Kluyveromyces lactis: one gene and its partner. The protein of the gene in region 2 purifies or fractionates together with the protein of the main gene of each other region. This does not show direct contact. Links are inferred from orthologs where the notes say so. Each region holds a gene or a part of one and is shown on either strand. Other genes may lie near its edges. The genes, in order: SSL1 and KIN28.

The links.
Region 1: the proteins of KIN28 (region 2) and SSL1 purify together in Saccharomyces cerevisiae (affinity purification with mass spectrometry; 3 studies listed by BioGRID, with this or other methods). This does not show direct contact. The link is inferred for Kluyveromyces lactis from reciprocal best matches to the Saccharomyces cerevisiae genes KIN28 and SSL1.

What each region holds. Positions count from the first base shown.
Region 1 is NC_006041.1:850,263-853,878, reverse strand, and holds SSL1 (TFIIH/NER complex subunit SSL1), read right to left. Parts: upstream 2,293-3,616; coding exon 826-2,292; downstream 1-825. Other genes in the region: HOL1 (Hol1p), read right to left, coding at 1-34; KLLA0_E09593g (uncharacterized protein), read right to left, coding at 2,584-3,616. UniProt on the Saccharomyces cerevisiae protein: Component of the general transcription and DNA repair factor IIH (TFIIH) core complex, which is involved in general and transcription-coupled nucleotide excision repair (NER) of damaged DNA and, when complexed to TFIIK, in RNA transcription by RNA polymerase II.
Region 2 is NC_006041.1:1,323,184-1,326,327, forward strand, and holds KIN28 (TFIIH complex serine/threonine-protein kinase subunit KIN28), read right to left. Parts: upstream 1,493-3,144; coding exon 560-1,492; downstream 1-559. Other genes in the region: KLLA0_E14763g (NAD(P)/FAD-dependent oxidoreductase), read left to right, coding at 1-480; MRF1 (Mrf1p), read left to right, coding at 1,727-2,917. UniProt on the Saccharomyces cerevisiae protein: Catalytic component of the TFIIK complex (KIN28-CCL1 dimer) which is the protein kinase component of transcription factor IIH (TFIIH) and phosphorylates the C-terminal domain of RNA polymerase II during transition from transcription to elongation after preinitiation complex (PIC) formation, thereby positively regulating transcription.

The DNA of each region.
Region 1 (3,616 bases), about 470 kb from region 2:
AATCAGGATGGTGTCTGTTCGTGTACTTATCCATTAAACCTGTGCCTCAATATTGGTCCAAAAAAAAATGATGATAGTGGAAATGTCACAGCAATGGATATCCAAAGTTGTATAGTATCAATGTAATTGTGATTGTGATAATTTCGAGTTGGTATGAACTCTTTCAGGAAGGATGTCAAATATCAAAATAAATAAAATAATGCAACAATCTCTGCTGTATATTCAACCACTTAACAGAAATGTTTAATTGTGAAGAGGATGAGTCCGATTTAATTAGTGAAATCAGTTAAACCGGATTGACAGCAGACTAAAGTGATTGGAAAAATCAACAGTAAGAAGCCAATGCAAATGTAAAGAGACGTACGGTTGAACTCCCTGTGAATCTCAAGTTTGAAAGAACCTACCTGTCCTAGAGATATAGCACAAACTTGATGGTAACAGGAAGTTTATTCAGTACAGTATTTTTTTTTTGTGAGGTCGTTGAAAAATCGGTTGGTATCTTGTTGCCTTTTCTATTCGAGGTTTCATTTTGCAATTTCTCCGATGAGCTGAAAAATTTTGAAAATAATCGTTACTTTTTATTTTGTCACAATCTGAGATGCACTAAACAAGCAGATAATGATTAGGAGATGAGATTTATACAATTGTAGGGAAAGCGGTATCCAGCCAACCCAGGGGGAGTACATTGTAAATAGATGTAAAGGATGTGAGTGCCTTTTTTTTAGTAACCATTCAATGTTATATACAATTTGAGTCAATGTTTAAAAGTCGTTCTTGTGATATTTTCTTCTTGGAACTACCGAGAAAATGATTAGCGGGTTAAATTCATTTGATATTTACATTGATTGGTTTGGACTCACACCCAGGGCAGTTGTGTAACGTTTCATGAATGAATACATCACAATCTATACAAAAATCTTGATCACACTCTTCACATCTGTACCTGCTGCTTGTTAATAGTTCGCCTGTTTTGTTATTTCTTAAGGTGGGGAATCGCTTTTGGCAGCCGAAGCAATAGTCTGTAGGGAAGCTATCTGACACTGGGACTTCTTGGAAAGTCTTAAGAGGCATCAAATGATGATACGATCTTGCTAAATGTGTTGAGAGTATCAACATCAAATCACAACTCGGACATACTGTCGGTAGAGAGCAAACCTTAGTTTTGCAATTGGGACAGACGTAACCACCATGGACTAGAGTCGAATGGCAAGCACAAAATGATGGTGTGTCCTCAAATACTCTGGTAGGGAATCCCATCTTAACCAAGGTGAACCCTTTGTTCACTTTGCTCACCGGTAACGGTGTCACTGCACTTGTGAATAGTTCCTTAAAATGATGATCGTTCAATATAATCCCATAATATGAGTTATCTCCATAATTCGTCTGCTTACACAACTCTTTGCAAACGGAGACTTGAGCAGATAGACCAATAACTTTTGCTCTAATATTCTCATGTACCAATGAGCCAATCGTTTGATGAATATCACCTGGATCTGTAGTTGATAATGCACCGAAAACGATGAGTACTTCTCTAGTACAATGCGCTGGAACATGAAGTAAGAGACCTCTAGCCATCTCTAAAGCATTTTGTAAAGAAGCGTTCCCCTTTGGTTCTTGCCTACGAAGCATCTTTAAAGCATCGATATGTTCTTGAGGGTTACCACTGACCTGCGATATTAGCTGAGCTAAACCATCACGCATAACAACTACACCAATTTGAGAAATAGGATTTTGATCAAAATACTCATGAATAAAGTCTACAGCATATTGTACTGTCATTGCATATCTATTAGGTCGCAAATCTTTTTCCATCATTGCTTCGCTACAATCCAATACCAAGATAAGGGTTCTGATAATACCTCTTTGATACGGAGTAACCGTCTTCTCTGCTGCCCTTTTTTTTCTTGCTTCAACTATGCTTGCCACAATAGCAGCGATATTGCCTTCATCATCAACTTTGACAAGGTCCCAACTTCTTTGAATGTCATCTTCCCAGGCATAACCACCATTGACACCTTGTAAGTTCTTGTTGGACAGCTTCTTCTTCTTTTTCTTCTTCATTTTTCTTGGATCACGACTTCTCTTTGATAGTTGTGAATGAACTCGTTCATCCTCTTCATCATCACTAGAATTCCCATTGCCTGCACCATCCGAATCTGCAGTTTCTTTTGTTCTAACATGCTTCTTCACTTTGTTTTTCAGCACTTTGGTCTGACCATCTTGTCTATGTCTCTTGTTAGTGATTCCAATGATCCGTTCATCGTCTGATTCACTATCTATAATAGGAGGCATTATCGTAATCAAAAACGATTAATAAAATTTGACCAGAGTACAGCCAAATGTAGTCCAATTAAAAAATCGACTAATGCCTGGAGCTCTACGTCTATTCAGCCAAATTGGTGTAGCGTTACTCTTTAACCTTCAAATCTTGCTTCACTTGTTATAAATTCACTAAATTTTCTTACATGATTTTGATCATGTGATCATATGATCAAAAAGTTTCAACACAAAATAGCGAGGGTTGTATGTAAAACCTAATAATCACTGATTTTATTTAACGAACTACACCATTATACTTGAATCTTAAACGCTGAATTCTTGTGGTGGACACTCTTTATCTGAATCCCAGTCCAATGGTTTTTCACTCATGTAGTATTCGATGGTACCACCGTGTTCGAATAGCTCGGAATGTCTAAACCAGTTCTTATCGAGTTCTTTGTCATTGATAACAACTTTCTCAATGAAGTTGTTTCTGACACCAAATTCTGAATATAAGTTATGTGCAAAAATTTCAATATCTGGAACGTTAGGCATGCTTTTAAGTTTCAAATAATTAACTTTCGGACTTGTTAATAAATAAATATCAGTACCAGCCACGGGATAAAAACCTAGAAGGGCAAAGGTTAGCCACGCTTGCATGGCTCCTGCATCAGAATTCCCTGGCAAACCACGCGGTCCCGTCTTAAACTTTGTATTTATGATCCAATCCACTAATGCTGACGTTTTATCTTGTCTGTTAATGTACGCGTAAAGATAAGGTGTCAAAAAACTTGGTTCATTGCCAATATCAACCACGTTCTCATGGCCACAGAACGCATACATATCATCTAAACGTTTTTCAAACATTGCTTTCGAACCAATGTATTCTAATAAAGTCTTCATATCAAAAGGCACCGTCCACCCATATTCCACGGGTTTTCCTTCATATTCATCGTCTCTCCAATAGCAACCAAAGCATGTAAACGGATCATATCTATGTTGAGCAAACGTACCGTCAGAATTCCTAGGTTGTACGAATCCGGTGTAGTCATAGTGTATATTCACACTTTTAGCATTTGGGTTCCAAATGTTACGCCAGTTTTTCGATCTTTCAAGGTATGTCTTTGCTAAATCTTTTTTACCGAGACCTTTGGCAACGATATAAAGGGCAAAATCGTTATACGAATACTCCATAGTTCTGGTGACACTTCTTGAGTAATTTCTTGTTATGTACCCCAATTCAAGCCATTCTTTTAAAGCGCCTCTCCCAAATTTGTTTGTCGAGTCGTTAGCCATAGGGTCCTCAATGTAAGGCGGCTCCACTTCTGCATTGGTATACATAGCTTGGAAGCCCTTC
Region 2 (3,144 bases):
ATTGCTAATATGATCTTACCACCTGAACGTCAGGTAAAGCAATATTATGCCAAGGGCAATTATTTCACTTCGAAGACTCAAGTTCCAGCTGTGAGAAGATTGATCTATCCTGTGCCTCCCAGAAATGGCAAATCATTGGGAACTCATTTGACCATTGATTTAAATCATCAAGTGAGATTCGGTCCTGATCTTGAATATGTTGACTCTGCGGATGATCTGATCCCAAACCCGCTGAATATTGAAGACGCTGCCAAAACCATCACAAGATATTTCCCTCATCTGCAACCAGGTGAATTAGAGGCTTCATACTGCGGTATCAGGCCTAAATTAGCAGCACCAGGTGACACAGAATTCAAAGATTTCTATATTAAAGAAGAAGAAGGATTCCCGGGGTTTGTTAACCTGCTAGGTATCGAATCTCCAGGTTTAACGTCAAGTATCCCAATCGGGAGATACGTGAAGAAGATACTTCACGGTTAGGAATAACAGATAACATGCAATAATGAACTTTTTTTTCGTACATATCCTCGTATTCTATTCAAAATATATCTAGGTATTTTCATTTATTGAGCTTAGGAAGATCTTGTGGAAGTGTAGGCTCCGGCAATTCCTGGAAATATTGACTTTGTAGACACTTGACTGCATCCCATCTCTTTTTAGGGTTCATTATCATCATCCCACTTATCAGTTCAAGTGCATTTTCCGTAGCCGCTATGAATCTTCTTCTCAATTCCTCTCTCGATGGAGGTGGATATATTTGAATCTTATTATAATTGCTAAAACTAGAAACTTCAGGCCAATCCGCATCAGTAGGAGTTCCTAACGCACGGAATGTTACGTTTATCTGATCAACATCATCTTTCCCCGGCAAATAAGGAATTCTCAACATTAATTCTGCGAATATAACACCGACAGACCAGATATCGACCGCAGAGGTGTAGTGTTTTGCACCAAATAAGAGCTCCGGTGCTCTGTACCATCTGGTAACAACGTTACTGGTCAAAATCTCCTGTGGTGACGCCATTAGTCTGGCTAGACCAAAATCTGCGATTTTCAATTGACCATCAGGTGCTAATAGTAAATTATTTGGCTTCAAATCTCTATGAAGTATGAAGTTTCTATGACAATGGTGTACACCTCTCAAAGTCATTAGAATCCAGGACTTAATATCTGCTGGACTGAACATAATAGAAGTGTCCTTAATAATGATCTCCAAGTCGGCAGGTAGAAACTCCAACACTAAATTCAAATTATCGTTTGCCATGAAAACGTCTACTAATTCAATAACATTCACATGCTTCAACTCTTGTAGAAACTTCACTTCACGTAATGCTGACATGTCAAGTCCATCTTTGAACTGTGAGGTCTTGATCTCCTTCACCGCAATACTCCTTCCAGTGGACTTCTTAGTTCCCAAATAAACCACGGCATACGTACCTTCACCAGCCTTTTTCTCCTTAGTATAGTCATCAACAGTAGATTTTAGGGTCATGGTTTATAACTTCGAGCTCTACCGTATGACAGAATCAGTTCCCAGATCCAACGATGACTTTAAACATCAAATGTCTATCTGCATGTTGGCAGAAGCTTGGACCTTTCTATATTAAATATGAAAAATCTTTGAAAGTTTGATACATATTATGCTATGTAAAGGAAGAAGTGTATGGTGAATCAAAACGAAGTACCATCGGATCTTCAGAGTTAAAAACTACATTCGATTGGGGAAATGATCTCAAAATTGTTTGGAAGAGGAAAGTTCTTTCGAAACGTGGCTCTTCAAGTCAGATTTAACAGTTCTGAAGCCGTCGAATTTCGACCATTGCACTCATCGCTAATATCAAGAGCAGAGCTGTATGTCAATGAATTGCGAGAGTTAGAGGACCTGTTGTCGCAGGGTGGATCCTTCGATCTTGAGAAACAGAAGAATTTTGCCAAACTATCTACGATTGTGGATTCGTATTCCAAATACAGAGAAGAAGTCAATCAGTATAAAGAACTACAGGAGATACTGGAATTAGATCCATCATTACGAGAAGAAGCCGAAGCAGACATAGCAGCACTACTCCCAGATTTGAACAAGACAGGGGACTCTTTATTGAATAAACTCCTACCGCCTCATCCTTTTGCAGATAAACCCAGTATATTAGAACTAAGGCCTGGTGTCGGTGGTTCTGAAGCTATGATATTCACTCAAGATCTGTTGAACATGTACATTAACTATGCAAATTATCATAAATGGAAATGGAACCTAATATCAAAAACTGAGAACGCAAGCGGTAGCGGAGTCCTGGAAGCAATCTTGAATATAGATGAACCAGGTTCTTATGATAAATTGAAATTCGAAGCCGGAGTTCATCGTGTTCAAAGAGTGCCTGCCACAGAATCAAAGGGAAGAACTCATACTTCCACTGCGGCCGTCATTGTGCTACCCAAAATGGGTGAAGAAAGTGAATCTGATGCATACGAGAGGACTTTCAAGCCAGATGAGATTCGTATCGATGTCATGAGAGCCAGTGGTAAAGGTGGGCAGCATGTCAACACTACAGATTCTGCTGTCAGGTTGACACATTATCCATCAGGCATTGTGATTTCAATGCAGGAAGAAAGGTCTCAACACAGAAACAAAGCCAAAGCCTTTGCTATCCTACGAGCAAGGTTGGCCGAAAAGGAAAGGCTTGAGAAAGAGGAGAAAGAGAGGAATGCAAGGAAAGATCAAGTTTCCACGACAGACAGATCTGACAAGATCAGAACTTATAATTACCCACAGAATAGAATCACGGACCATAGATGTGGCTTCACACTATATGATATCGAGGGGGTCATGAAGGGTGAGAGGCTAGATGATGTAATTGATGCTATGGACGCGTTTAGTTCTGAGCAGAAGGCTAAGCAATTACTTCAGGACATGTCAGCTTGATCAAATATTCAGTTGGAAACACCGTTCTGCGCCAGGGAATGATAATTGGATTTACACTGTAAATAGTATAAAATAAAGTTGCATATATGTATAGAAGAAAGCACCCTGAACATCAATCTAGTGTGAAACCTCACTCGAGGGTACGTATTGGTGTATAGTGTGTTGCTGTTTCTCACCCAGTTCTTTATACGAACCATTATACGATTTTTGACTGGAGAAATTGAAGT